Drosophila melanogaster: one gene and its partners. The protein of the gene in region 2 interacts with the protein of the main gene of each other region in a pairwise test. Each region holds a gene or a part of one and is shown on either strand. Other genes may lie near its edges.

Region 1 (9,256 bases), on a different chromosome or scaffold from region 2:
TTAGGGCCCATAAATTTACGAAGCACAAAAAAGTTTCGCTCTAGTCTGTCCAGTCAGTAAATCTACCAACTTTGCTTACATTCAGCTGTCAAAGGCTTGGACCACACCAGAAATTTATACACTTTTACTTCTGGTACATAAATCCCCAAATGGCGAGAAGCGAACTTTTCAGCTTGTCAAACTTTTAGCCGATTGCGATCGTGTGTCATGTTTGGTGGTATTTGACACTTCAAATTGAGCGAAACGAATGCAAACATGGTGTCCTCGTAGACGGTTTCAGTTGTTAGGGATAGCGACAAGGGTCTCCGGCGGGGGTGCTGCTAATTAAATGACGAATTTCCCTCGCTGGCCGTTCTGGCCTCGAAATGCATTCGTCATTAGGCGAGCAGACCCGAGAATTGCTCCTAGGGAGCGTAGCTAATTGATTTTCAGTCGCCAGTTGCTCGGCCAGCGGGAGGGAGGAGGCAGGAGATCCTGGCCCGAATATGCGACCAGGTAGTGAAGGTAAGGTAATCAGCTCGAGCACATCGCAGGTTTTTTCCACCGCCTCCTCCCGCTGACTCTTCCTCGTCTACTGGCCATTGTTCTGGCAAGAGTCAAATTCTGAGAAACCAAACACACAGTTTATCCGCAAAATAAAAAGTGATTCTGTCTCTCGCTTCGATGTATCTGTAGCTATATCCGTATCTGAGGCTGTTCGGTGTCTGTTTTTGTGAAAACCATTGAACCCGCAATAAAGTCATCAATCATTGACATTTGCCAGCGCTTTGGTTTTCAGAATTTTGTGTTTTGAAAAATTATTGAATTGGCGCCGAGCAAGCAAAAAATGCATTGAGAAGTGGGCAGTGCAAATTATTTTGAAGTTCTATAATCATCTGGGTTTTGGTCCTGAAAACAACATTGATTCCTACAGATCCGATTAGACAATCTGACTAACGTGTAACTACTTCTCGTATAACTTTCTACGTGTGGAATGAACTATCATTCCCACCTCAGTTACCCCAAAGCTTTCTAAAAGTGTAAATAATTGCATAATTCACTTCATCATTCAGAGCTGAACAAGTCCATAAAAGACTCATTAAAAAAACACTTGCACTCAATTAAATGGAGCCGAGTTGGGGCCGAAAGGGGCATCCTGGCAAAAGGGGGAGCTAATCAAACAAGGGTCGCAGCTGCCAGGACAATGTTAAATGCTAAACTTTGCCCCGCAGCATAATTGCACAACAACAAGGCGCCTGGGGAAGCGGAAAGTGAGAGGTTGCACTTGAAAAGCGAGGAATAGCGGGGAAAACCAGAGGTGGTGGGCTTTGGGTGGTGGGAGGTTGAAGGGGGCAGCTGGGAGCTGGTTCGCAGCAGCTTAATGAGCTTGGAAGGAGCGGATGGGGCGCTACGAATAAAATCTAACCACAAAGTTGTTGAATGCTCTTGTGGCAGTCGGATCCTGTGGCCGTTGTAGGTGTTAATGAATAAAGTTGTTTGTGGTCCGCCGGGCGGAGCGGAGCGGAATGTAGTGGAGTGGAGTGGAGAGGAAAGAATCGTGTAAAAGATGGCTATGTGTGTGCAAACCGCACAGCGTGATAAACGCCATCTATCCAGACACACAGACTCTCGGGCCGGTCAACAGAGCCCCAAACAACAAAAAACAACGGCCACAGAGCAGACAAACCTTGATTGTTTGCCGGGTTTTTTGTGCCGAGTTTAAGGGGCGGAGTCTGGTGCTGGGGGGGGGGGGGGAATACAGGATGGACAGGATGGACAGGAGGCTAGCCAAAATTTCAGACGGTGACGGGGACAAGTGCAAAAGTTAACACAACGCAGTGACCGGACGGAACGGTGGGAAAGAAACAAAAAGAGACATATGCATGTGGTGGTTTGTGTGAGTTTGGGATCTATATTCTGAAAGGACTCTTCCCACTATTACTCATATATCAGTTGAATCGAATTTGTTTTAGATCATCGTAACTATTGGTAAATCGAAGCAATGCAATCTTTGTTTTAAATAATAGAGATATATGTAAGAAAGTAAACATAATTATTAAGCCGAGAGAAACACACAATTTATGAGGCAATAGCGAAAAACTGGATTTGACTGAGAGTTATTTCACAACTATAATCTCCTACTCTCGTTCCACACTCGAATCTTAAAGTCAACTCCTGCCGCGGTGTACTGACCCCTTCGATCAGTTCGAGCTGCTACAGTGGCACCATTTGGGCAGATCTATATCGGCTGGATCCATAAACACGTACTTGACTGCCCTGCTCCGTTTTACTCACCCACTTATCAAACTCGGACCCCTCACCCGTCCCATCGGCGAGGAGTGGAAGCCAGGTCGTAAATAACCTTTGCATAATCTAAATCAAAAGCTTAATGTAGCATGGCGAGTAACCCAAACAGAACAGCACAGAAACAATCGCAGCGCAAATAAAATAAAGCTAGAGGAGTGGAATGCGAATGTGCGAATGCGTCCAGTAATCCGGCGAGTGTTACCCCAATTTCGGTTTCGATGGCTTTTTTGAGAGGGCCAGCACGGAGTGCCTCGGAAGCATTTCCGAGCCATTTCAAACGGAAGTTTTGACACGTGTCAACACAGTGTGTTCGAGTGTGTTTATTTGCCCTGGGTCGGCGGTGTCAATGCAATAAAAACAAACACCAGTGCCAAGGGACATTTAGCCGAGCCAGCGATGCTGATTGAATTTTTGATTTATGCGGTGTGGAGGATGCTACTTCAAGTGCCCGAGTCGTATGGAAAGGTTAAAGGCCCCGATCCCAGCCAGATACCAGACCGATCCCAGCTCGATCCCGATCCGTAATGAAGTTGTGCGCCGGCCACTTGAAAGCTAATCAATATGTTGGCTATCTCCGACAATGTGTAGCCAGGTCAACCAATCATAGGCACACACAAATCAGTCAGAGGTCCTAAAATGCACTTTTCTGCTGCATCACGGCGGAGAAAAGAAATATGAAATTAGTCAAAAATATCATCATACAGCAACCAACTCATTATAATGCCACATGATTGTTCCAAAATCGAACACAATATGGCGGCGTCTCGAAATCAAATCGAAACATTTTAATTACCTTTCGATGAGTGTGCAAAAGAAAATACTGTTGTCCGAACAGATTTACAGAAATAGCTTTTTTGTGTGGCTAATTCTGTGATTTATGAATTTCTTTGTGAGTTTATAATCGCGGTAACTACAAGATGAAGCTATAATGAAGCCCGACGTCTTATTTTAATTCAATTTGGAATCATGAGGCCAAATTACAAAATAATAGAAATAAAGAGGCAACAACAAATGCCAAAAGCCAACATTAAAACAACAAAATATAAGCATGCTGGATATTGCGGAATATTGCTGGCCATATTTTCATTCTTCTCCTCCAATTTCCAAGTTAATTACGCCAAGGCTGAGGTCAATCAAGGATAATCCAGGACCAAGCGATATTTGCTGGAAAGTTTATTAACCTGATTGGCGCTCTTTTCACCAATTATGCGAAACTTTGTTTTGTGTTTTCGCATTTCATGTTTGCTTTCCCAACTTCCACTTGTTAATTGATTTTAATGGCTGTGTTTCGCCGCTTCTAATGAGCCCTACATGCTCAGCCATAAATTTCAATGGAACAAGTTCAACAGCCACTGGAATCAAAGTCATTAATTTGCGTTAAGCTCCGTTTCTGGCTTTATAGTTCGACTTCTCATAGATCACGACTATACCGCATAAATTGTATTTTAAAGCCTCCAACTATGGCTATGTTTTTTCAAAAGTGTTCAGGCTATGAGCTGCAAAGCGATTTTAATTTATTTTTGAAAGACAATTGAAAGAGAAATGCTTGAAATGGGCATGATTAATGATGGATTTAAGAAAAATTAATTATATTGAGAATTTGCATAGAGCGGTTGGCTATCAAAGTAATAGTAAGCCATTATTATTAAATAATACAAAATCTGAAGCCGACAACAAGGCTTAAAGTATAAAAAACAAAGGAGTAGCTAAACTAAATTTTTCAGTTCCTTTACAAATTTGACCAAGTTTCCAAACGTAGTTAAATACATGCCAGTCAAAATCCAAAGTCAAGAGAAGTCGCAGGCTTAGGGAAATACTAAGACCAAAAGTCGAAGTCAACCTAAAGCCGTAGAGTAATCCTAGCCGTAAGGACAACATCTTTGCGGGATTTTCTGGGCGCGGAAGAGCTTTGGGCGCAGGTTTTACAGGTGTCATAAAAGATGACCCGCCCGGCCAGTGGCGGGTTAAGCCAGGTAGTGGGCGTTGCAACGACTTTTGCCGTCGGTAACACGCTCACATCGACAACGTCCGGGATTTGCCCAGGCGGGCAAGGGTTATGCCCACGCAAGGTGAATTCTAAGAGATTGCAGACCTAGCATGTGCTATTCTAAATATAAGCGGTTAAAATCTGCATAAGGCTTCGACTTTCTATTAGTATTAAGATCTTTATAAAACAGGAATAATTACACACAGAATTTGACTGCCAAACCAAAACTAAATAAAAGTATTTTCTTAGTTTAATGAATGGTTTAATATGGTTTAAATATAAAGCGGAATGCACCGCCACACTTACCTGTATGCGTCCGCTTGTGGATCTTGAGGTTCTCGCTCCGGGCGAAGACCTTGCCGCAACCCGGGTGCGGGCAGGCGAAAGGTTTCTCGCCGGTGTGGACGCGGATGTGGTTGACCAGCTTGTACTTGGCCTTGAAAGGGCGTCCGTTGCGAGAGCAGCCCACCCAGAAGCAGGCGTGGGTGGTGCACTCGGGTCCGCCCACGTGCTCCACGGTCAGGTGGGTGACGATCTCGTGCATCGAGTGGAATACCTTGTTGCAGGTCTTCCTGCCGCCCGGGGGCACCAGGCCCGGCTGGTCGGGGTCTATCCAGAGGCACTGCATCTCCTGCTTAACGCTGGAGGCGGACGAGGCCGGCTGATGGCGCATGTAGCGCAGGAAGGCCCCTGCTCCGGCCGGGTGCATCGCGGACATGGCGTGGTGGGACGGGTGGTGCACGACCGGGTGGTGCACTGCCGCCGTCGGGAAGTTGCCGTGGTGGTTGTACGGGTGGCCGGCGGCGTAGGCATCCGCCATGCCCATTCGCATCTGATGGTGGTGATGGTGGCTGTGGAAGGGGTGTTGTCCGAACCCGGAGCCCAGCTCCGCGGCCTGAGCGGGAAAGCCGGAGAAGAGCATGGAATCCGCTGCGGCGGAGGCCTGTCCGGCGGATCCTGCCACACCGTACTCGGCCTCCCTCCTGCCCAGCAAAAAGTCCCGGGAGGCATAGCTGTTAAAGTGCCCATATCCGGAGTTCTGATAGGCTGCAGCAGTGGCCGCCGCGGATTCCTGATCCTGTTGCTGTTGCTGCTGCTGTTGTTGCTGTTGTTGCTGCTGCTGTTGGGTCATCTCCAGTTGCTGCTGCTGTTGCTGCTGCGCGTTGCTGTTACTGGCGGTGGTGTTGGGCGACATTCGCAGCCCGTAGCTGGCCAGGTGGTGCTGAGCCGGCTCAATGAAGGCGTTCATCATCATGGTTACAGTGTTATTGCTCGCTTATATGTTTTTAAAATTAATTCAGAAAGAACTGAACTACAAGTTTTCGATTCGCACTTTGCTAGGCCAATGAGCCCATCACGCACTGAGGTCACCTCACTTAGCTGTATATACTGTGCGCTTATTTCGCTCTTAGATATTTCGCATGCGACTTGATACTTATTTACGTAATGCACTCGCGCGCGATGCGTTTCTGGGGCGTTCGAATCGCAGCAAGACTTGACGCTAACCGAATGCCAAGACTTGACGTTTCAAGATGCGCAGCAGGACTGAAATGCTCCTGAAATTCTAACTCGCTGCTGTGTTGCCTCGTGAAAATATCTGCCGACGATCGCATGCGTGCGAATGGGATCGACCTATGCACGACGTAAAATGAATAGAGGGTAACGAAAGCGCGAGTGCGAGCAGGCCAGGCGTATGACCTGCCTGTGGTGAGTTGCGCTTGCCATGGTGTATTCGGCACAAGCCACCACTCTGTCGGATAGGCCTGAGCCATGGGTGCGAGTGCGACAACTCTAAGAAAATGGCCGCCTCCTCGCATGCTCCAGAGTCGGACAGAAGAGCACAGAGGCTGCGCACTCAGTCCAATTGGAACCCACCCGACCATAGCGCCCTCTCGCTCGGCAAACTGGTTTCGCGAAAATTAACACCCACTGCGGTTGGCCATTGGGTGGTGGGCCGACAGCGTGCGGCGTGCGCCTGTGCAGGGGGCCCAAATGCTGATTGGACCGACGGGCAGCCAATTGAAAGCTCGCGGGGATGCATTTTCCAGCCCGCTCCTCATTGTCACGGCGGACGAATAGCCCGCCACTTCGGGTAGCCCAGCTGTCAGCTTATCAAATTAGTTGTTTATTTTATTGATTTTAATGATATTAAGCACATTCCGTGCTCGGACATCGGAGATTTCCAGCCGTTTTGTTTAGGTTGCGCCATAAAGACGTACGAGATTTCATTAGCGCCAAACGCTCTGTTTTTCATTTGCTAATTTATGGAATTTTCAATAAGCAGTAGTCGAATCAATACATAATCTTGTATCAATCGACTTGATTGGATTCTGCTGAGTGTTAAGTGCCCCGGCAAAGTGGCTTTTGGGGCAGACTGTGAAGTGATACTTCGCCTGCATAGGGCAAAAATGTATAAATTTATTTTCATACAAAACATTTGCTTTGTGATAATATGGTATAACACTATGCTGTATGTATATAGTCAGACGCTCTTCTCAAAATATATGATTTTTTCTATTTACAATCCAAAAACTGAGCGATGCAAAAGGAAGGTCGTTAACATCAAAATTGTCTTCGTTTAGTATTCGTGTTTTGAACTAGTCCTCATCTGTAGATAATTTAAGGTTGATATGTAATTGCTGGCAGAGTATTAAAAATTGCTTAAGCTTTTAAAACGATAATAATTAAAATCAAATTGAATTTGGATATATATTGAGTAATCAAATTTTTATTCAAAAACAGTATTTTCTAATCAAATATATTGCCCTGAATTTATCGTTTGAGAAAACAATATTTCCTGGTAAAGTTTAAATGAGAATGAGAGCAAGAAAAGACCATGTGATTCCATGCTAATTACCTTGATTTCCGCAATGAATTAATTGGGGCAAATTGTGACATAAAGCGTCACCGCCAAGCGGTTCGGCTATTAAATTGTCAAAACAACTCAGCGGCAATCAGCAATCAGCGGACGGCAATCGACAGTCCATAGTCGTCCGAATGTCATACCGACCCCAATGCCATTTTGGGAGACGGGCAAGACCATAAAGCAGCGGAAAGTGCACCGAGCTGGCAGGCACCCAGTCCCGCAGAGCTCCAGCGACAAGTGTCACTCGAAATGAAGCCATTGCTCCATATCGATGATGGAGGATGAGGACGAAGCCGCCGGGTTGGAGCAGATGATGGGCTGCAAACGGAGCAGTCGGCTGAAGTGGATTTCTAGCGCACTGCCATAGAACTACTCCCATAAATAATGCCGTACGAGCCACTTGAAAATGGAAGCGCAAAATGCAATAAACTCTTAATAACAAAAAAGGAGCGGGGGAAACAATCTCAGGCGCTAGCAAACAAGAAATTATAAATTTAAAATGCCCAGATAAACAAAATGCAAGTTGGCCCAGCAGGTTGCAGCTTCTGTTGTTGTCTGTGATTCAAGAGGTCCATTTTGGACTAGACCGAATATCCACTTTCCAATGCAGAAAACGAATTTAACGACCCAGTCAATCATTCCAAGTTCAATAGAAGCTCTGAAGATCCAAGTAACATCAAAAATCTTGTAGCTTTTGCGATTTTTTAATTATCTTCCTCCATCATAGCCAACCATATGTTTTATAGTCGAGTTCTTTTAAGCCCTGATTATTTGCAATCCGTCGTGTTAGTAGACGTATTCATATTTTGGTGTCGATTTCACCCCTAAAAGCAGCGGACTGAACCCTCAGCTGTGCTTAATCAGTTTGGCCACAACCAAGTGGGCAACCAACCGGTGGGCGTCGGGGACAACCTGGGGACATGGCCGCGTGGCATGGGCACGGACTCATCAGAGTCAGAGCCGAAATCAAAATAAAACCGTAACCTGGCGTGGACGCCTTTGGCACATGCCGCGATCACAGCGGTGAGCACTGTACTGGTCTTTTGCCAGGGGTTCGCATGAGACCCGGGATTCCAGAGCCGAGACTCAAGATTCCAGTTCCAGTGCGGGATGGAGAGTTCCGTGCCGAGCCCACAGAGTGAATGGCCATGGTGCGAAAAGGCAGGGAGGGGTGTCAACGGAGTGATGTGGGAGCGTGGGAGTTTCCTGTCCAACTGGTTTCCTCGCGATTTCCTTTCATTGCTTCTATGCCGATTAATGTGCTTCAACAAATGGAAGTAAAGATGGAAAATGTTCAGATAAATATTTAAGCGAGCACATGAATTGTTTGGTACTGTATGAAGTATATACTCTTGTTAATTGCGTAGAAAATAAATCTAGCACTCTTTTGTGCAATGAAAGCATAAAGACGTTGCCACAAAGTTCAATAGTAAATTGCAAGAAATGCCTGTTACCATTACACACCACAATAATATCAAATTGAAAGAGTACGCCATTGAATGCGAGGTTAATATTTGGAAAGAGTTTCCAAAACTATGAACGATCTACATGGGCCTCCTTTTCATTTCAGCACGTGGTGAGCTCGCTCCACCCGAAACCTTAACCACCCACTTCCCGTTGCACAACCAATAAAGCAGACAGGTAAGAAGGCCCTGGCCAAATCCTAAAAGGCAATTCGCGAATCTCGAAAAAGGCGAGGACATCTGAATCAGAATGCTTAATCCCGGGGCGTGATAAACTGGCGATGCCTAGGAGGTAGTACAAGGATTAGGGAATCGAGACAGCTTAGGAAAGTCAATTTTTTTACGACCATGCCATGAAGACACCGGAACAAGGCAGCACATCTAGCCCACACATCGCTTCGAGATTCTCCAGATAGAGGGAAAATGAAAATCGTGGAAAATTATATGCCCATAAATATTTTGCCGGAGAGCGGACACGGCAATTTTGCTTCGGACGAATCATAAAAAAGTGCGTGACGAGAGAAGTGCTGACCGTAGGACACGGACTGACAAGGTCATGTCAACCATAAATATTTACATGCCATAAACACCAAGGTGAGGGCCGTCCTGGCAATCCTGGCCATACTGGCTCACATCCTTTTTCCGCAATGCGTT
Region 2 (9,616 bases):
GCAGGCCTCATCCAGGGCTATGAATTATCCCCTCTTGTTTACATTGAACTATTTTTGGGGGCTCTTTCCAAAAGTCAACGAGATGAGTCCAAGGTCTATGATTGTCTTGTACGAAGTGTTTATATGAATTTAGCTAGAGCTACTTCTAGAGATAGCCAGCTATCCTTATCCTTGTGGGTTTGTCATCAGGCATATCCCGATAGATTAAACCCCAAGGAGTGGGAGCTGTTTGTGAACAATTTCATGGGTAGTTCTGATGGCAGTATGGTGCTAAGTCAGCTTGGAAAACTGCCCGACTGCATGCCCAAGGAAGCGCAATTAAAGCTGGCTATGTTACTCCAATTGTTCCCAGATTTGCGAAGCAAGCTCCAGTTGGAGAAGGACTATATCTGGCGCGGATTCATTGAGGCTCAAGCGGATGATGTGCTACGTAAGTTGTAGAAATAATTTAGTTAATTTCATCTTATTCAGATTTATTTTCGAACTTACAGCTGCGTTGGGGTCCAGCTTCCAGCGTGTGCTTATTGCTCAGATTTTCCGACCCGACTTGATGCTTCACCAACTGCGAAAAGTGAGTAGCGATCTGCTGGGAATTTCCCCAGATGCCTCCACCCAACCTTCTGTGGAGCAGTTGCTGCAGCAGAGCAGCTGTGATCGCCCGATTTTGATGGTTAGTCATGCGGAAAATGATCCAACAACTGAATTGAGAAAGTGGGCCAATCAAAAGTATAGAGAAATGGCTATTGGAAAAGGTGTTGAGAAAAGAGTTCTCTCCGAAATGCGTCAGGCTGCCATAGATGGCCACTGGTTATGCGTTAAGAATGTCCATTTGGTGCCGGAATTTCTAACTCAAATGGAAAGGGAATTAAGTGAAATTCAAAAATCGAAAGACTTTCGATTGTGGCTATTGTGCGAATCAACCGAGGGATTTTCCGAAGCTGCCATTTATAAATGCCTTAAAGTACGTTATGAGCAGCCTAAGGGACTAAAGCAGATTGTGATGCGTTTGCTCCAGAACTTCGCTGCTGAACAGGATCAAAAGCTTAAAAACCAACCAAAGAGCCTCAAGATGAGACTGGTTTATTTTGTCCTAACAGCTGTGCTTCAACAAAGGCGACAGTTTATACCACAAGGTTGGTCAAAATACTATGAATTCGGTGAGGCAGATCTAAAAGCGGCTCTGGGTATCCTAAGAATGATGGATCAGCAACTTAATTCAGGAAAATGCGATTGGTTGCTGATGCAACGTCTCAGTGAAGCCCTCGCTTATGGCGGAAGAGTAAATAATCAGAGGGATCTGGAGATACTCACAACCTATCTGAACCAGTTTTGTTCAGCGGACGTCTTAAGCAATCGTTGGTCACCTCTTGGATTATCTCTATCCATACCAACTAGCGGTCAACTGCAGGACTACTACGCTGCATTGGAGAAACTTCCTGACACAGATGAGCCCAGTATGTATGGTTTGGCCAATCAGGCACAACAGCAACGCGAAATTGAACAGGCCAAAAGAGTGATAAAGGAACTCAGGGGATTGCATTACGGAAGAGGCTTGGCTAAGGATTCTGGAGGAGCAGGAGAGTCTAAGGGAAACGATCAGCTCACTGGTCGTCAGAAGCTGGAACAGCAAATTAAACCCCTACTGAATCTATGGAGAAAGTTGGCGGCTTCGTGTACCATAATCCAGACTATGAAGGAGGCAAAAACTGATGTGGGTGAATCTCCCTGGGCACTTTTTGTGCTGGCTGAACTGAAACTAGGGGCGGATCTCTACGGCATAGTTCACCAGACTTTGTCGCAGATGCATGCCTGGCTTAAGGAGTCGCAGGAGGTGGATGGCAGCACTCTGAGAACTCTGGCAGAACAGCAGGTAAGAAACTGGGGTACAGTAACGTAACTTGAAAATGCATAATAAACTGAAATTCATAGATTCCTGCCAGTTGGCTTAAACTATGGCCTGGACCTGGCAGCAACAGTGCCGTGGACTTTTTAAGAGCCCTAATCGTTCGAGCCCAGGCTGCCGAACTTCGATTCCGGGAGCAAATGCATCTGGATTTTGTAGAGGATATCAATTTCGTCCAGGTGTTTAACTGTGAGAACCTGTTGTCCTGTTTAAAGCTGCTGCAGTCTCGAAAACTGGCAGTTTCCACCGAACGCCTGGAGTTGCAAACTTGCGGCTCCTCAAACTTGGAAAGTGATTCTTCGGACATAATACTCAAGCTGGCGCCGCTAAAGGTGAGTAAGAATTAGTATCTTTAACCGATAATGTTTTGACATCAAGTTGTGAAATCAAATTCAGCAAGCCACTTACTCATGATTCAAGGGGTTATGTCTTCTATGTCTTCTTCTTTAGCGACTAAGAATATATTTCGAAGCCATAAAAGGAAATTTAACTAATCGCAGGATAATCAGCCAAGAAATTGCCATAACTATAATATTCGCGGTAGATGGCGCATTGGTTAAGTTGGGGATAACCATTAAATATCATAAGCCCTCGAGAAGCGTTACAGTAAATACAATAAACATTGAGAAATAATTTTGGGATACATTTTGCCAGGTTGCTATATCAGATACAATTGGATGCACACGTAGTAGTAGTAACAGTAACAATACTCTGTTACGGATTACCTGGATAGTAGATATGCATACATCCATAGTCCAAATTGATTCCCCCAATCCAAAATCCCAAAAGATACTTATTTATCTTTTGGGACGAAGACTGATGACATCTTCTCTCCCTCTTGCCCGTTTGCTTCTTGTCTTTGTTCCTCACCTTCCCCATTTTGGCCATAAAATGTGTCTCCATCGCCGTCTCCATTCTGGCCGTTTCCATAGCTTCCGTATCCGTAATCCTGCGCCTCCTGTTTTCGGTGCGCCGCCGCCGTTCAATGCATCGAAATTAAGCTTGAAATGTGCACTGGATGCCCGTTCTTTTCAGTTTTCTCACGCCGCTTTTTTTGTTTTCATTTGATTGACATTCCGGTACAAGAGGGGGAATTAGAGATGGCACCTTGTCCGATGCCTATCGATAAGCAGTTCTGAGCACAAACTTACATTTTACTTTCCCTTCTCGTTTGTATATCTACGTATTCGATGCCAATCGATAATCGGTTTGGAAGCTGACTATGGGGAGTGCATCCGCTATGCCCTGATGGGTGTACCTGCTAGAACTAACACTGTAAAAAAACAAATAACTATTTTTTTGTATATACATTTTAGGACTTGGAGAATAAACTTTGCAAATCATCTACCCGCTTTTCGCCTTTTTTTTTGTTTTTAGCAATTGTGAATATATGTAATGTGGAATATATCTAAGTATTTCATTAGTAACTAAACTTGGCACTATTCATTTTCCATTACAGATTGATGGCGCCCAGAGTGGAATGGGAAAATCGAACCCCTTCTACATCAAGTACAAAATAAAAGACGAAGTACAAAATGTCAGTCATACGACTACTAGTTCCTCAAAATACGGCAAAAATTCGCTATATTCCACGCAAAATGCTGAATCGAAGCCCAAACTCCCATTATATTCTCGGAGCAGTCGCGACAAATTGATTTGCCACCTAAATGTTGATATTGTGACCGGAACTGCGGAACAAATTCTCTTGGCCGGAACAGCGCTAATAGTCGAAGATTATTAAACACCACTCAATATTATTTTATACCAATATATTTCAAATATATATGTAGAGAAGCGAAGAATGTGTTGGACTGACACTTGAATAGCAATTCACCTTCGCAAATATTAAATAAAAACCAAACGAAACTCTTTTAACATTAGTTTCCTACCCTTGACACGCTGTCATTTGGGTCCCAACTAATTCTAAGTAAATATTTAAACAACTAACAATTAGGCAGCCAAAGGCAAACATAAAAATGGGCCATTAAACATTTAAGGCGAGGACTTAGACTCTGAAGAGCTAATTGATTTCCATATGTCTCAGTGTCTGTGTTTATTCGGGGATGCCCCTAAAAATTAATTTGCCACCGCCGAAGGGATTTTATTGCGTCCTGTGTCCCTCATAATCTGCTCATATTAAACTAATTGCCGTAAATTTCAACAACAAACTGCCATAAATGTCGGGCATACTTTTAGTTGCCAAGACATCCCCGACATCCCCCAGGCCCAAAACCATTTTACCGTCAAAAACTTGTCTTAACTTTAATTAAGTGGCATTATGTTCAATTAGGCAAAAGTTTCCAATATGCAAATTAACACAATTTGAGTGTAAAGTGCCTCCCGGTACCGAGAAGGGGGCGTGGCAGCCGGCTTCTGTGGCATATAAATTGCCCTCCGCACAAATCACAGTGCCTCGTATCGGTGGGCGTGGCAGTTTGTTAACACATTTTGCAAATTTAGCTATGCAGACTTCTCAGATTTTGTTGTACGCCTTTCCCAACTTGTTGTGCTGTCGGCTATTGAGAATAAATAATTTATTACGCTTCAAATGGAAATTTAGTTGCGGATTAAGGAATTAGGCAGCGCGATAAGGCTGAAAAGGTAATTGAGTAAGGATATAAAGTGAATGTGTATATCAAAAGATACATAAACTCCGCTCCGAACTTCAAATCCAATTAGCTACAAGGAAGAACAGTTTAAAGACCTCCTTCTTATGCATTTAGGCTACATAAAGATCAATTTCCAAAATATTCCCAAGCCGCAACCACATTAATGAGGCCCTTAAACTATTTCACCCGCCGCAATGCTGGATTACCAACTTAACCAAATAGTTCATCGCATTTAATGTTAAAAGCTTGTGGTTTTGGTTGATTCCAATTCGCATTGAATAATCCCCACAAAGTTGCAGCTTAATTATGTGCCCGCCCCAAAATCCCCAAAAACTTGCATTGCCGATTAAATTTTGAATGTCTAATTTGCAGTTGATGGGCAGGCGAATCCGTACTTTACACTCAAATGCACAAATTGATATCCTCCTTTGGCTTCTTCAGTGTTTAGTGTTTGACAAATGTCGGGGCCAAGCGGCCACATCCTTGTAATCCTTGCCAGCCTACAAGCAACGGCGTCGCCATCTAATTGCAGCCGCCTTCAATGAGCTGGGATTAGAAATTAATTAAAGTATAAGGCTAATGTGACATCTGCATGTGTTTGCCGCCCATTTCCTGGTACATACACACGAATATGTCCCCACATCTGCCATAAATGTAAGCCCACCAAATGTGATTAATCAGTTTGCACTCATGCCGCACTTTTGACTTTGCAGCTGGGCTTTGCCCTTTGTCAGTGAGTCTTCTTTGACTTTGGCTCCTCTTCCGGACCCGGGATGCCATTTAAATGGCAATTCCCCTTTACCATTCACTTGAATACCACTTACTCCATTTATTGGGTGCTCCTTTGAGGAGCTTACTTGATTTTATGACTATTTGGAAACAAAACTGGTCAATGAGACAGAAATGGAAATTATAAGAAGTAGTATGCTATTTTTGAATACATGTATTGATAAATCTGTTGGTTTTGGTACATTTTGCATGTGTCCAGATTTTATTTGGTTGTACCTCTTTCACAGATAAAATAAAGTCTAAGCTGTTTCTCTCACTTTTCTTTTAGTTTTTTAGTTTCGCAATATAAAGGCGTGCAAAAGTAATATTATTAAAATGTTATGTACACTTTGAAGTTTCAATGGAATTTGACAATAAAGTTTAGTGCTCTATGGCAAAGTTCCCCCCTTTTTTTATTTCAATAAGAAAAGCTTTAGCGTCTTCTGTCTTCCCTGCCTTTTGATACATTCACTCCTCTCTATTTGAGGGTAATCCCGATTTATCTCACCTTTGCTACAGGCCAGAGGAAAAACGAAAGATAGAGAATATTTCATGCATAATGCGGAGATAAAGGCGAGAGGGCAGCGGTGAAAGGATGTAGAGTCAACAAAATGCAGATAACGCGATGGCAGCTGTGACTTTCCTTCGTTTTTAAACAGGCTTCGCTGTCAGCGGCGGCATTTCCGGTTCCGTTTTGCCGCTCGCTGACTAGCGCCACCTGGCGGACGCTGCTGTCGCTCTCTCTTTTTGCACATTTTGAACGTGATAGAAATTTTTTTTTTTTTCGTTTTTAGCATTGGGTTGGCAAATAAATAGCATTTTTGTTTCGGCAGCCGCATTTCATATTTGTATTCGGGCACTTGCACTTCTTTGCCGATTTTTTTTTGTCTTTTGCTTAACTATGGAGCCGTTTTTCTTGTTGCAGTAGCTGCTCTTACCATAGTTTTGTATTTATTTGCGTGTAAATTCAGTCACGTTCGCTGGAATAAAAAGGGTAAAACGCGGGTGAAACACGCTGCAATCAGCGTTTTATGCATTCCAGCCGGGGAGTTGGGAAGTCCTATTCAAAAGGCCGTTGCTTTTGGTCTCTTTATGCTCCCCTCCTCTTCCTCCTCCCTCTGCCGAACAAATGTGCATAATTTTAGTTAAATTTTTGGCATTTTATGCATGGAAACGTTTCTGGGTTAATTTACGTGGTGCATTCGATAATTGCGTCGCCCCGAACGAACCCCCTTAAATCCACGGTGGATGGCGCGAGCAGAATGTGACAAATAAAATTGAATTAAGAGCTAAATGAAATGGAATTTATGTCCCACGTGTGCTGGAACTCGGTGTCACCGTAGTCCAGGCAACAGGTGCACCGCCTTTCATGGGTGTTGGAGTTCCAAAAAATAAAGCTCAATAAACTAGGACATGCGGAGCTGCCAATGACAGTCAAAATTTAATTGAATTAATTAATTAATTGATTTAACGTTTCGGAAATCCGAAATTAATCTAAAAATACCGGAATAAATTACGCAATCATTAAGTTTGCAGAATTATTGCTTGCGCAGAACAATCGTGTTATATTAGGATTTACATATATATATATATATATACATATAAAGTTTAATATGTTAAACCTCATTTTACACTTTTAACCAAACTATAATTTTTTGCTGCCCCTGAGGTCAAATTCTAATTAGTTTTCCAATTGATCAAGCTGCATTGAGTAGCCCCAAACCTTCAGAGTTAAAACAAAACTACATGAATCGAGAACGAATTTAATGGAATGAAACTTTTATGACTGCCACCCTCACTGCGTATGAATGTCAGAACAATTAGGCAACAGTTATCTGTCCATTACACCAAGAAACTCTCCGGATAGATAGGACTCCATCCCCTTGCTGGTACCCCTTCCGCATGTCGTCATAAATTTTGCGGCCCCAGGCATTAAACAAACTAGCACAAAACTCATTTGGTAAACAGGCAGGATATGCAGGATGTGCGCAATGGGTGTTTGTGTGTGTGGAGTATCTGTGAGCGGGATTAGGCGAGTGTGCGTGCACTTTCAACACACTTCAAGTGTTGCAGTTGTGAATCTTGAAAGTTTTCGGCCCGGTTTGTCCAAAAACTTTTCGTTACCGCTGCCTGCTGGTCATGTTGCCATGGATTTTGCTGGGAATTTGCAGCTACTTTTTTTCAAGGGACTTTGCATACAGGGAGGTCCTTAGCCTTGGCAGCGACTTTGGGCCGCAAAGTTATGGTCGGAACACATCAAAAGCCACGTTGCCCCCAGGTTTTGCATGCTGCTTTGCCCCTTTTTGCTGTCCTGCTAAGAACAAAGTGTTCCGGGAAAGGCTGCGAAAACTGTGAAATCTGCGAAAATGTGTTAATTAACCGACTGCGAGCGTGTGCTTTGTTTTGGGAAAATTAACACTTGTATGCGCCAAACGCAAGACATCTAATTAGCCTGCTCATGATTAAGTGTGAATCTAATGATATCAATGGCCCAGAGGGCTTATTTCGATGCGAAATTTGATATTTACTAAGGGAGTTTTAAACAACTAAAGATAATCAATATTAATGTGGGTGGGAATCTTACTTCCTTAACTTTTAGACTGCCGGTAGGTGGAGCTAGAGTGCACTCTCGAAAAAGATGGCTTTGCTGCTTTCATTTCACCATGTTCTTGAGGGATGTTCCAGTACAGGGTATCAATAAAGTACAGGGTATCAATAGTGCGTATTATGTAAATGTATAAACGTGTAAACGTTAACATTAAATTAAAAGGACTATTTTAGAAAAATGATTTAATTTTTATTAAAACAGCACTGCACTATAGGTTGAATGGTACCTTTTTGTGGACAAAATTATTAACTGAATTTTCCCATGCGGAAAGAAAAACATTTAAAGTTGTTTAAACAATGCGTTTTATTCGATATGTATACTGACTAAAAGCCACTCATATATACTCCACAAAGACAGTTTCAGCGCATCGTAAATTGAGAACCGCATTTGATAGTTCATTAATCCAAATTGTGAACTCTCCACAATTAATGATGTTTGCTTTGGGATCCGTTGGTCCCCTTCATATGGCTTCCATATCCCACATTCCACCTATTTGATTTCATTTGTTATCATCATCAAGTCGAGCTCAGTGGGGATGTGTGGGTTTTGGTCTCAATTTGCGTCTGCTTCTGATTTCTTGTTTGGCTAATTTATGCGCTTCGCTGGATAATAAATTTTATATTTACGTTAAACACAAACAAAAACGAACTGAAAGTCACATCAGGCTAACCATATGTTGTCTCCCATTCTCCAGGATTTTTCTGCACCCGACAATATGTCATTTGTTCCTAAACTCACCAGCGTCCTTCGCTCTTTGCCCACCTCCTGCTGTATAAATATATGGTATATAGCCCCTGCATTGTTGTTGTCTTGATTCCAAACCATTTGTTATCGAATTTGTTTGTGCTTATTTCGTATGCCAAACGGCACAAGAGTCCTGTTCTGATTCACAGGACTGGCAGGCTGGGGCTCTCCATGGGGCGACATGTGTCCTTGTGGGCTCTGCACGAGCTCCTCCATCACATCAGATCGAGTCGCATCGCATCGCATTGGCCAGATATATGCATGTTAATTTGCTGTGATCCAATAGGTTCCCATTGAGTTATGGAGACACTAGGTAAGGGAAATCCTCCTGGGATGACGATTCGTTTGCATTTGTTTTTGGTGCCCACTTAATGGTTGGATAAATGCAAACGAATTAACTTTAAATGGCTTGGAATTATCCAAACACATTTTAAGCTGGTAAAAAAGGAAAAACTGTGAATTATAAATTATAAATGAGCCAAGTTTAAAGCAAAAAAAAAGTTTATATATATACATATATATGTTAATCGATAGGCATTGTTTTGTATGTACCTTTTTTAAAATATTCTTTATCAAATCAACTGAACCTTATAATTACTGTTTAAAACAATACTTTTTGCCTGTTAACTTGTAAATATTCTTCTAAGCAAATTTTATTCTCAAAGTTTCATTTTACATTTCTCCGAAGCTGATAGCAAACTTCTCTGGGATTTCTTCATTACACAAATTAAGCAAACTTGTTCCGCACAACTTGAAAATTTCGAGACGAAATTCATTTACAAGTAACTTCAATTGATTTCTCTTGTCACATTTCCCATGAAAGCCTCTGCCATCCTGTCCTTCGGCACGAAATTATGTTTAACATGCTTTCAAAGGAAATTCTTATAAATGTTTATGCATTTCCGCTGCGCATCCACAAACTGCTTCGATATACCAGAAGCTTATTGAAAACTTTTACAAACTGTTGCCCGATTCCTCAGGGGC
Region 3 (5,628 bases), about 17 Mb from region 2:
ACATAATGATGGAACTCGGTTCGAATTTAACTAGATCCTTTAGGTGTAAAATCGTGTTAGAGCCTAAAGCTAAAAGCGTGTGTATGCATCAGATCCTGTCATACTGAATCGTCTCCTCTCGGAATCCCTCGTAAGCAATTTCCTTTTGGTAAAATTAAGTAAACATTGAGCTTAAGCTAATACCGCGTATGTACACAATACTCGAGGACGACTGGCTGGCTGAAATGGCGGCGCAGGCTGGGTTTGATCTAGTTCATTGGTCTACGATTGTGATAGGTAGAGACCGTGCTTGGCATCACACACCACATTCAGGGCGTAGAAGTCCCAGTAGGAGGTCATGTGGAACCCCATGTTGGTCAGCACCACGATGTACTCGAACAACGCGAAGAAAGTATAGACTGTGGATAGAAAAGATTCATTATAAGACAATAGTGGACTCACAACCGATTCCCACTCACCTCCCGCCTCGCAATGCGAGTTGTGCCTCACGAAGCAGTATCCTGCCAAGCCAAAGGCGATCACATTCACCAAGAACAGATTTCTCTTGTACCTCAGCGACTTCTCCTCGTGCGGCAAGAGCACGGTCTTCTGTATATTCCTGTTCAGCAGGTAGGAAACCAGCATATAGCACTCGGAACACGCAATGAACACCACAAATGCGTTTCTGTGGGTCTCGTAATGATCCGCAGAGGTCCAAAACGACAAGCAGAAGAGGGCCAGATCCTCCACGACGTTCAAGAAGCAGGCCAGGATGCCCAGCAATCTTCTGCTCCGGCGGATGTGTTCCCGATAGTGCTCCAAGTAGATTTTGGCAACTGCCAAACGGAGTGGTAAATGCAGAAATATGGCCAGTCTCCAGACGGTTTTTTGGGGCTCATAGTTCCCAATGGCCGCCGAGACGGAGGGCAGATAGTTGGTCACATCGCAGTGGGTGTAGGTGCTCCTAACGAAGTCAAAGGTCAGAGACCAAATCACGCAGAAGAAGAAGCCTCCCAGGGGCAAACTAAGAGCCACCAGTGCCAGTCGCGCAAAGGGAAGCCGGAAGAGGACGCTTTTGGGATCACTGAAGCGCTCGTAAGTAGGCAGCATTTGACCTTTGGAGTGGGTGGACTACGTGGGGTGTTGGTCGGGTTGGGTTCTTCAGCGGCGCTCGCTCCTCATTTTTCAGTTCCTCGCTCCCAAATTAACTAATGGCTTTTCACGCAGATTGCTTACGTTATAAACATTGCGAAAAGTTGTAAACAAGTGATCGATACCAGCTGACTATCGGCCTCTGGCGGCGGGGGTGGTTCATTATCGAATTTACTCAGTGTTTAATGTTTAAATTTCGAAGCAATTCAAGTGTTGCTCTTGTGTAAGTGAAATTTTTGAAACTGGCTCGTTCATTGTAGATAAGCCCTTTTATCAGCAACACTAACGGGGCGGATACTTAATTTCTATGTAATACTTTAGTCGCCAACAGTGCTGACCAATATCAACTTACTTTTGTAGCTAAATAGCTAAAATGTTATTAATGGCGGTTTAGTTAAATAAGGTCATAAAAACAAGTATTTTCTTACTATGACTAATCTTATAAATTAAAAACATTTGGAGACTAAAAATATTTATATACAAATATCTATTCCCTGAAGTGGACAGATTTGGCTAATAAACAGCTAGACGGCCATGACTGTCTTGCCTTGCGAACTATCGATATCGATAACGCCGGTTGCGTGTCAGCACTATTCGCACTGAAACAACAAACACGCGCAAAAAAAGAAGAAGGAAACTGCATTGTTTACCAGATTTCGGAGTTTTTCCTCATCTATCCGAGCATCCGCGAATCCGTCAGAGATGGACATCCTTTTGGCCAACGTAAGTGGGCTGCAGTTCAAGGCGGAGCGGGACCTCATCGAGCAGGTGGGTGCCATCCCGCTGCCGTTCTACGGCATGGACAAGTCCATTGCGGCGGTCTGCAACTTCATCACCAGGAACGGACAGGAGTGCGACAAAGGGAGCGCCTGTCCCTTCCGACACATTCGCGGGGACCGGACGATCGTGTGCAAGCACTGGCTGAGAGGACTGTGCAAGAAGGGCGACCAGTGCGAGTTCCTGCACGAGTACGACATGACCAAGATGCCCGAGTGCTACTTCTACTCGAGGTTCAACGCCTGCCACAACAAAGAGTGTCCCTTTTTGCACATCGACCCGCAGAGCAAGGTGAAGGATTGTCCGTGGTACAAGAGAGGCTTCTGCCGCCACGGTCCCCACTGCCGGCACCAGCATCTGCGCCGTGTCCTGTGCATGGACTACCTAGCCGGCTTCTGCCCCGAGGGCCCGTCCTGCAAGCACATGCATCCGCACTTCGAGCTGCCCCCGCTGGCGGAACTGGGTAAGGATCAGCTGCACAAGAAACTGCCCACGTGCCACTATTGCGGCGAGCTGGGCCACAAGGCCAACTCGTGCAAGCAGTATGTGGGCAGCCTGGAGCATCGCAACAATATCAACGCAATGGATCACTCCGGCGGACACTCGGGCGGCTACTCTGGACACTCCGGCCACATCGAGGGTGCCGATGACATGCAATCCAATCACCACAGTCAGCCGCATGGTCCCGGCTTCGTCAAGGTGCCCACGCCCCTGGAGGAGATCACCTGCTACAAGTGCGGGAACAAGGGCCACTACGCGAACAAGTGTCCCAAGGGTCACCTCGCCTTCCTCTCTAACCAACATAGTCATAAGTAGGACGCTCTGCTCTGTATGATTAGACTGTAAGAGTGCAGAAATAAAGGTCGAAAGCGGTCTGCATAGTCCGCTGTGTAGTCCAGAGGTCGTAGGTTCCCAACTTCCGCAGGCGAACGTTTCAATCATTCTGTGTTTAAAGTGTATGTTAAGAAACTCATTTGCATTTTTGAAAAAAGTCCCTAGAACTGCCAGTAGAACGTATTGTGTTATCAGCGAAATAAACTTCCATAAGATACAAGTAAGCAATTCGTTTTGGAAGGGAGTTTAGTTGTATGTTTTGGGTTTTCTCCAAAAATATAAATGTATCATGTTTTTTCGTTTGTAAGATAACAATTTGTGCCTCACAATTTTTTTTCGGATTCAAGTTTCGAATTTTTGGGCGGCGAATCGTCTTTTCCAAGTTTGCAACCACTCTAGAGTTGCCTCACTTTTGTCCACATCTTTTGAAAGGCGAATTAGAACTGGTCACACTGGCTTGTCTGGATCGAGATTTCAGCTCGTCAACAATTGCGCACTAAATTTTCAGTAAAAACAAACAAGTTGGTCGTGCGGAGGCATCAAGAACACAGCATACGAGCAGCCATGACAATTCTGGGAAAACTGCGGGGACAGCCCACGGACCAGGAGAAGGTGCCCCTGCCCATGAACCTCAACGACGAGGCGCTCATGCACCATGGCTCCCTAATCGCAGTGAGTTTTGCTTGGCATCGCATCTGCGGGATGTGTCCTTATTTTTGCGCAATCGTGCTATGTCCTTGTCCATCCCTCGCGCCCTGCCCGCCACCGTGTCCTTCGTCCTGCGGCCCGAGAGCCACAAGTCTCGTGATGGGTGGGTGGTTGGTGCTGATTCCGATTCGGAATCCATTCCGAATTACAGCCTCAGCAGCAGCAGCTCGCCATCGATTTTTCCCCGACCAAGCTCCGCACTCCTTGGTGTCCTTGTGGCCCGTGCTTCCCCTTACCCCCCTGCCCGCATGCAACCCCTGCTCCACTCCAAGTGACGTGTGCCCATTCACTTTCCTGGGCTTTCCGCGCCAAGGACTCGCTCGCTCGCTCCCCGAGGTCAGCGCGAAGGGTTTTCCTGTTGCTGGTGGAGATTGGCCCTGACGGCTGGGGAAAGCCACTTACGGTGCCAGTTGCAGCCCTTTGTGAGCTGCTGACACTGTGCACTTTGACCTCGATTCGTGTGCACGGGTATCCAGAGAAAGTCGTGTCTTATCAGCTTGCTGGTCATAAGCACAATCATTCCCAGCTGCCAGCTCCCATCTCCCATCTCCCAGCATATTTGCCCATCTGCAGTTTATTTATTTAGTGTAGATATCACTAATTTTCCAGAGATTTATATACAATCATACATTTACATATGAGTTATGCACTACATAGTCGAATAAGGTCCACTCTAGTGCATGCAAATGCCTTCAATTGATTAATTTTTTGCAAGGGGATCTCTTCTGACCCCTCCTTAGACTAATCTCTCGCTAACGACGTATCTTTCGAAACAATTTTGACTTAGCAATGCAATTGCATTGTTTATAGAACAAGAGAAGGCATTGCAGTGAAAAATTATCTTGCTGAGCTGGCGGAAAATATAAATGTGTGATTAATATTCAGCAAGCTCAAACCTTTCGACTTGTGGAACTTCCACTATCAACATTACAGTCAACTGCCTTCTATTTGTATTTTTCTACGACTTATCGTCGTTTTTATGACTTTCCACTGGAACAATGGGTGATAAGGAAACAGATATAACAAGTCGGTCATTTTAGATAACTTTAGATTGTATATAAAACTGCTACTTTTCCATTGCAATTTGTTGTTCCTACAAAATTGCAAGTGACACTTAGAGGAGTATCCCATATTTTTAAAACCCCCCATTTTCCACACACAGCCCAAGGTTGCTTACAGCGATAATGAAGCCGACGCGGAATCCATGGTCTTCAACCGGCCGCAGCACCATTGCATCAAATCCTTTCTGCTGTTCCTGATCGCCGTAGTCGTGATGCTCCTGGGTGTCCTGGGCGGATGGACCCTGTACCGAGTGTACGCTCCGTCGCATAGCAGCATGCGCTACCACGCCCTGTGCGAGATCCCCTATCCGGAGGACTCGATGGAGATGGCGCGGGTATATCCGCGCACCGTGGAACCGTTCGCCCTGAACTGGCGCTCCTTGCTACCCGAGCTCGCGCAACCGATGCCCAACAGTGGATCGCTGGACGAGAGCCACTTCCGCGAGGACATCGAACTGGACGGTGACAGCGATGACGAGGGCTACGCACGCGTGGACGTGCCCGACTTCAAGGATGGACGTCGTGGTCGCTTCATGCACGACTTCAAGGAGAACCAGTCGGCCATTATCGACACTACCACCGGACGGTGCTTCATCATGCCCTTGGATCGGGACACGACCCTGCCCCCGACCAGCTTTGTGGATCTCATAAAGAAGATGAGCACTGGCTACTACAACATAGATACGGAGCGCGTGCGGCGCCAGATGCGTGTGGTCATGCCCCGCATCACCGATGTCTCGCTCATCTCGGAGCGGATTGCCAACGAGTGCTTCGATATGAAGGTCTACATGATGGAGAAGTTCGTCTCAGGCGGTGAGTAGCAATGTCTTACAGGTGCCAGCAACTTACTGATCCATTCCCATTCCTCGACCCATTACAGTCTCGAAGAGATCGGCTGATCCGCTGCCGGAGTCAGCCAAGTACGCCGAGTTCATGGGCAAGGGCGTCATCGAGTACGACCTGGCCAACATCGCCGAGGTGGAGGCCTACGAGGCCAACGAGGCTAGGCAACAGGCCTGAGCTTTGGAGGAGGAGGAGGATCTTTTAAGCTACAACACCCATATGATAACACAACCTAAACAAATTATTACTTAGAATCGATTTATACATACACAGA
Region 4 (7,289 bases), on a different chromosome or scaffold from region 2:
GGGGTGGCGAGTGGGGCTGGGAAATCACGGCGTGTCGCTTTCGAATGGAACATAAAAAATTGAGGGCTTAATTAAAAAGCAAAAATGTGCTGCGATTTTCCGCTTTTTTAACGCCAACAGCAGCAACTTCGGCCCGTATTTATATCCGTACCCCAACCCGTGGCCCAAAAAAAAAAAACCCAGGGAAAATGCGAATGCGAATGGGAAAAACAACACATTTTCCAGGGCCAGAGAGCGAAGGGAAGGGAGGAGTAAAAACTACTTGCCGACGACTTTTTATGTGGCCCATGTTCCTTGGAGGCGAAGGAAGCACTGCCAGCAGTTCCATTTGAAATTTTCCGGGCCTCATGTGTCTTTTTATTTCGCCTTCCCCCCCCCCCCTGGGCTCCTACAAATTAAGCTTTCCCTCGCTTTGTTGCCTCTTTTTTGGCCAGACCAGGCCAAGACCATGACTTTTGTTGTTAATTAAAGTGACGGCTAAAAACATGAAACTCTCAAGTGCTCATTAAAATTGAAATGCGACTGCAGGAACAAACCAAATGTGTGCCAAATAATGACGTTTGGCTCTTAATGCCACTCCATGTTCTCTTCGCAAACAGGATAGTTGCGTTCCCTCTGCTGAATGCAGGAATATTAAAGGGCTCAAATGGAAATTTAATAGGTAATCGTATGGTGTGGGTTTTGAGCTCTTTAAATTAGGTAATCTTGATTAATAACACCACGAGTATATACTAACCTATATAGTAGTACAAGTGGCATTCATATCCAGCTCTTCGGGTGCTGCAAATTCCGCCGCACTCCTTCACAAATCATTTGTTTGGCCAAGTCCAGTTCCAGGAGACCAGGAGTCCACATAAACCAGCGGCAATCCCCTCCCGAAATCAGGGCGATTGCAGAGCTTTAAAGTGCTCCTTGGCAGGCCACATAAATAAATGTTTGCACATTTACTTTGCCGGGCTGCCCTCCTCCTGAGTCCTTCTGCTCCTGCAGGATTGCGGGTGTTGTGTTCGCTCGCTTCGTTGCTCCCAGCACGTTCATAACTCAACTCCTGCTCCTGCTCCTGCTCCTGCACCAGCTCCAGCCACTGCTCCCTCGCCAAGGATGCGATTGTGCGAGGATGTGCCGGAGGTGTTGCTTTCCAGACGCTTTATTTACTTGCAATTCGATGCTGGCAATCTCGATAGTTTCAATCCGAGGCTACGCCCCGCATTGTTTTCCGGCGCTCCGCTAGCGATGATTCTCCGGAGAGAGATTGCCATAACTTTGTATAGTGTAATGGCAATGCAATTGGATGAATTTGGCAGCAGGACGAACTGCACCCATCACGGGCATCGAGGCCAGTTAGTGGGAGCTCAAATTGCAAGACAAAGCAGCGAGCCCAAGTCAATTTGGCCAAGTCTCACAGGCGGTCAAGGTGGCGCAGTGATGCAGTGATGCAGTGGGCCCACTGAATCCAATGCAATCGCTGCAATCACGTACCCAATGGGCATATTACTAGCTGACTGCGATGTGAATGGATTAGGTTGACCTGGCCGTGGCAGTGTTCACTAACTGCAATCTAATTCTGATCTGGGGGTGTCACATTTATCGGCATGCTTTTCTAAAAGGGTATCCATCGCACGGAGGGGTAACAAGCTTTTCTCAAACACTTGAACATCCTCAAATGTAATTTTCTCGTTTATTAAATAATATTAATACATATAGATCTTTTGCCGCTTTGACATACTAGGTAACTAGAAGTGGGAAACAATGAATTTCATTTGCAGCTCCTTCAACATTGTCCTCCAAACTCCTCTGCTTACTTACTTATTTCGAGTGAATCTCAGGGTGCTTGGAGCGTTGATCTGGCTATAGGGTCGTAAGCTGGGCCGACAATGGCCGGTGCGAGATGAGGTCGGGCTCCATTTTCAGGGCAGTTAGCACAATGTCACGTAGCAAATGCGACAGCGTGGTCAACATAATGAACGGGGCGGCCACCCGCTCCTCCTGACCCCGGCCACGCCCCCCGCCCATCTGCTCCTTTGGGATAAAGAGTGCAGCATGTTGCAGGTTGCAGACGGCGAGTACTTCGCGCAGAACCAGTGCTGTCCGGTTGACTATTTTTCTTGGGCTTTGCCATTCCGGAATTACAAAAAAAAGAATATTTTCTTAAAAGTACAGAGTTTTGTCTTCTAAGAGGTGAGAAATACATCATATTTTTTTTAGCCTACATGAGTCACCACCACTTTTTACCTGAGAGCGCCTCTGGCCAGGACTTTGGTGGCTTCCAATCGTGTCTGGTGTCCACTGATTGCTCTGGCGGCGATTGCAATAACCTTTGCCCATGTCGACCATGTCACGACAACTCCGCTCGGTTTTCGGGCCAAAGGAACCCTCAGACAGTTGGCTCCGAAAAATGTGTCGATGCACGTGACATTCGGATGCAATTTGCAATTTGATTTTGTTCCCTGGAGAGGCAGTAGACGGGCGGAGGAGGTGCCCATCGCCAGCAGGTCGCAAGTTGCAGGTTGCAGATTCAGATTCGGCTTGTTGCCTAAGTTCAAGGATCAAATTGATTCCCCTTTCGGCAGCAGCAGGTGTGAGATGCGAGATGTGAGATGTGAGCTGCGTCTTTGCATTGTTACACTTGACCAATTCGGATTGCAATTACACACCTGACTGTTTACCGCCCCGCCACCACCATCACCACCACCAGTATCGCCCCAATTTTGAACCTGACTTTATGTCTGGTGAGGAAGAAGGCGCTGCTGGACTGTAGTTATTCTTGGGGGCCAGCTGTGGGGCTGGCTAAAATGGCCGAGCAACGATTTGTGTGGGTTTTGGCTTGTTTTGCAATCCGCTTTCTTTGTTGGCGCCATCATCCCCACCACACCACTACTTAGTCTATAGTTTACGCGCTCCACAATTTGGGGGAATTGTTTGTGGGACAAGTGGGGGGGGGGGGGAGTCCGTCGAGTAGGTGAAAGACAGGCAATAAGAAGACAGCCGAATGGACACTGGCTTAATTGAAGTCCTCTTTATGACAGTGGCTTTGTATCAGTACTATTCAATTCCTCTATTGCAATCTATCGATTTGAAGACACTTCCAAAGTGTTTTTTAAAGTATGCAACCACTTGTGTTCAGATAGCCTCCAGCATACTTTCAGGCAGCGGAACATTCAGGGGAGGCTGTATTAAGTTAAAGGGCCAGCATCAATTAATGCCCACTTAAGCCCAAAGCACCTAGTCAGCAATCCAGACTGCAAGTTTACTTACATTTGCACTCAGGTCCGGGTGTTAATGGCGCCCTTGTTATCGGATGTGGATATTCCGTTCGCCCCGGATGCACAACATCTCCTCCCGCGTTCGCCCTCTCCAGGTCGCCTGATTGACCTTCTATGAGTGGCAAATGGTGTTGGGTGTCAGTCAGGCGAAGCACTCCGCCCAATTTCCACCTCCGTCCGGCCAATCCGTGCGCTTCGACTAGGTGGCAAACTAATTGGGGAATCGAACCTGGCCCGGAGAAGACTGTCGGCCGGGTTACATTAGTGTTTCAATCACCTCACATTAGACACGCTGCTTTGTCTACTACCAAGTCGAGCGCAAGATGAAGAAGTCCGGGGACTTGTGAGCCCAAGCCAGTAGGATTAGCACTTCGATCGCCTAACACCCTTTTCCTTTCGCCCTAGTCTCTCCCTGCTCAACAATCGCGACCTGCTGAAGACTCCGTCCGGCAACTCCATTGTGAACTTCCTGGTGAAACCGATGAGCGTGGAAATGAACACGGCGGACAATCTGATCACGGGTGCCAGGCGCCAGCGAATGATGGAGCTCTTCCAGGAGGACCGCGCCTGGGAGGCCGCCGAGTTGTCCCGCTTCGGACTGAGCTGCATCAAGGCCCCGGACTGCTATCCCTGCTGCACTCCTTTCGAGTGCTCCAAGGCCAAGTTCTAGGACTAATTGATACGTCTTTTATTGTATGTGTGTGAGAATCAAATCCATACGTAAATCAACCTTTAAATTTCATCCTCACAATAGAGGATTCGCATAGAAAGCTGGCCATACATATTTGATAGCCAACATTTTCCCGATTCTCTAGAAGATTAGAAAACAGACCGTAATTTCGTTTAAATTTATTTATTTTATTTGTCGTAGGGAGCACCTTTCGCCTGCTCCTGCGGTCAACTGTCGGCCGCGTAATAAATTGATTCGGTGGCCATTAATCTATTTTCCGGAGCGGGCGGAGGGCCACGCCCCCAGCTTGATGCGCTACTCATTGTTTAGAGAATGGCAGGCAAATTTCGGCGCCTTTGTTCCCAGATAAAACCCTTTTGGGCGGATCGTGTTTTTTCGGGGGCCATGCCCGCTTTTTTTTGTCCTGCGGCGAACAAAACACAACTGATTATGGCGGCAGGACACTTGGCCGGATTAATTGAAAGCCGAGAGGCGAAATCCGAAAGCCTAAAGGCCGGCTTTTTTTGCCCACTTCAGTTGGGCTTCATTTTGCGCTGGGGGATTGGGTGTTGAGAATTGAGAATCCTCCATCATCATTTGTCATTGTCAGCTAACGGAGTGTGATGGCCGCCCCATTTGGCCATAGATGAGATAAGAGGCTGTGCTCGGGCTCAGCCCGGTTTCGCTCAGTGCACTCGGCTGCACTTCCCGCCTGACTTTTGAGCGTTTGAGCGTGATTTTCTTTTCCGTGTGCACTCAGCGATGCGCTAATCAAATTATAAATCGTGCCCATTGGAAAGTCGTTCGATGGCATCGGTGGCCCCCAGGAGGCGACATTGTCACCATCAGCCCGGGCAATCATAACTCGCACAAAGGGAAGGCCATCCTGTATTTTTCTACGCCTTCCCCACCATTTCCACTTTTCCCACTGCATCTGCGACACTTTTTCAGCGCCCATTAGAGCTGCTGTGGCGCCACCATAATGGATGCCGGAGCAAGTGCAGCCGGGTCGGTCCGTTTGCACTCCTTGGACCTTTTTGTGTTTGAGCTCTCCACCCGCTGGGAATAATGAAAATGTCTGCGATTGGTCGGGCAGGCGGCTAAATAATAGAATCGATTAGGTCTTTGAAACTGGGGAACCGTACATCACTTTTAACTTTCAAACACTTCTTAAAGTAATAGATACTTACATTACTGCTACTCTAGATTCTCATACTGAGATAATACACAAAGTATAGGGTATCCCTAGTGCCAGACAGATAAAAAGGGCGCAGGAACATGCATATTTATGTACATCCATATATGTATGTACATACATATGTACGTATGTTTTTTAATTCATGTACAATGTTTTTCCACGGGTAATCGTGAAGGGCGGCCAGGTGGGGTGCATTGCACATGGATCGCATCAAACAATGCCCATTTCTTTAATTAACAATTTGCATTTGCCGTGTTTCCAACAATTTTTTGCCGACCCCCCTTCCGTCCTGTTTTAATTGGTGTTTACTTTGGGCGGCTCTTGTGCCACGCCCACTTGCAATAATACCGCTGGATGCAATGGTATGGTATGGTAATCACCACCTGGGCTGAGCTACCACATTGCTGCATTCCTGCATTCCGGCATCCCGCATTCCGGCTGCCTTTGAGCGGCATCTTTTTACTAATGACTCGAAATCCCATCCAATCATGCAAACTGCTTGGGACTTTGTTTGCGGATTCACCCCTCCGGTCGGAGATAGTAATTTATTTCTTAAAAAGTGAAATCCATTAACACAAATTCCTTGGCCCACTATCTTTGTACCCCCTCCCCCAACCAAACAGCCAACCATCCTCCCTCTCCCACCTGCTTCAAACCATATCTTTATGTCTTGGTCAGACCATTCACGTGGCTCTTATGTTCCGGTTTTCCAGCTTTTCCGCTGCTGCCTGGCCAGAGGAAAATTGCAATCACCTTTGTGATTGTGTTCTGCTTTTCAGCTCCATCGCTCGGCATTCAACAGTTTTCGCTTTGTGCACTAAAAGTATTAAATTTCTTCAAATATTCTCGGTACACGTGTTTGTATGTACATACATACATGTATGTATGTACGTACATATGTACATAAGTACCTACATATCTACATACCGAGCAAAAGTCACTTTTGAAACGTATGTATGTGTATGTATGTATGTTTTCTGTGCGTTTGTTGTTTAGATGGTCAAAGATTTGGTTAGAAAGACACATTTTCATGGCATTCGGTTAGTGGTATTACTTATTTAATTATTTACGAAAATCGTTCATAAAATCAATTCAAATGGCAGATAATACCAGATTTCCCAAAAGAAGCTTATTAATACTGAGTGCAGGATTTTCTGTCAGGGTTTTGCACATCAAATAACACAACTGTACATAGCTTCTATCGAACTTGTCAGGTTGAGGAATTTTTTTGATGTGACATAGGCGACAAATCCAAAGTTTATTCAAAAGGCAGTAATTATAAGCATTTGCAGCTGGCGAGGCATTTTGTCGGGTAAGGCGATCCTCCTTAAGAAGTGCTGATTCAGTCAAATCCACTATTTCAACCGACGCTGCAAACATTCTGACCATTAAGACCAGGGCGCGGGAACTTCACCGAGGAAATGCGCTTAGTACGACGCAATCCAGAAGCGCATGCAGAATGCACAGCAGGTTCTCCAGCTGGTCATCTCGGACAGCTGTACTGGCGCTGCGATCCCGCCATGAACAAGCATGTGGAGGGCCTATGACCTATGGCCATGTCGCTTGTCTGCTGCAGGTCTTTGTGGAGAACGAAATCAACCTGAGTCCCGACCAGAGCTGCATGAACTGCTGCGGAGGCTGCCATGACACCCGCTCGAGCGGTTGTTACAAGGCGGAGGAGGAGTTCTGTGGCCAGCAGGCCGCTTGCAAGGGAAGGCTCTACAAATGCAACACCATCGAGTCCGAAAGTTTATAATCTTTGTGGGGACCAAAAACAACAGCTAAGACCGCTGCTACCAAAGGTAATCCCTATATTAATATATAAACCATAACAAAATAAAATCCCTTTTATTTCCAGTGTGGATTTCGATCTAGAAACCATATGTGCTTGAGTTTAGATAACGTAAACAGAATAATTTTAACAGCTAACAGTTGGCGCGCAACTAACAGCTCTGTTAGCCCGGCCGGCGCAACAGCGAAAAATCCCTAGCGCTTCACCAAAAATCCCGCACCGGCGGCTTGATCTCTGTGACATTGAAGTTGCGATTGAAAGCAAGCCTGTTAACCACATGTTATCTGGGTTTTTGCGACGAGGCGTCCAAAGAGCACGGTTCACCTTCACCCAGCAACTCGGCGAAGATCTTTTGAGCGGCGCAGC

What was found.
Region 1: the proteins of CG5674 (region 2) and opa interact in a two-hybrid assay, tested with the Drosophila melanogaster proteins (one large-scale study listed by BioGRID).
Region 3: the proteins of CG5674 (region 2) and Clp interact in a two-hybrid assay, tested with the Drosophila melanogaster proteins (one large-scale study listed by BioGRID).
Region 4: the proteins of CG5674 (region 2) and CG34210 interact in a two-hybrid assay, tested with the Drosophila melanogaster proteins (one large-scale study listed by BioGRID).

The regions. Positions count from the first base shown.
Region 1 is NT_033777.3:4,849,378-4,858,633, reverse strand, and holds the start of opa (odd paired), read right to left. Parts: upstream 5,822-9,256; 5' UTR 5,529-5,821; coding exon 4,580-5,528; intron 1-4,579. UniProt on the Drosophila melanogaster protein: Transcription factor essential for parasegmental subdivision of the embryo. It is involved in the activation of wingless (wg) in odd parasegments.
Region 2 is NT_033779.5:17,956,763-17,966,378, reverse strand, and holds the start of CG5674 (uncharacterized protein), read right to left. Parts: upstream 3,001-9,616; 5' UTR 2,834-3,000; coding exon 2,774-2,833; intron 2,236-2,773; coding exon of another isoform or gene 1,930-2,235; intron 1,871-1,929; coding exon of another isoform or gene 492-1,870; intron 431-491; coding exon of another isoform or gene 1-430. Other genes in the region: btv (beethoven), read left to right, coding at 1-430, 492-1,870, 1,930-2,235, 3,363-3,644.
Region 3 is NT_033779.5:818,246-823,873, forward strand, and holds Clp (clipper), read left to right. Parts: upstream 1-1,718; 5' UTR 1,719-1,833; coding exon 1,834-2,724; 3' UTR 2,725-2,964; downstream 2,965-5,628. Other genes in the region: PGAP2 (Post-GPI attachment to proteins 2), read right to left, coding at 262-398, 459-1,089; CG3662 (uncharacterized protein), read left to right, coding at 3,307-3,414, 4,613-5,324, 5,392-5,531. UniProt on the Drosophila melanogaster protein: Component of the cleavage and polyadenylation specificity factor (CPSF) complex that plays a key role in pre-mRNA 3'-end formation, recognizing the AAUAAA signal sequence and interacting with poly(A) polymerase and other factors to bring about cleavage and poly(A) addition.
Region 4 is NT_033778.4:23,348,037-23,355,325, forward strand, and holds CG34210 (uncharacterized protein), read left to right. Parts: upstream 1-3,481; 5' UTR 3,482-3,586; coding exon 3,587-3,606; intron 3,607-3,668; coding exon 3,669-3,933; 3' UTR 3,934-4,108; downstream 4,109-7,289.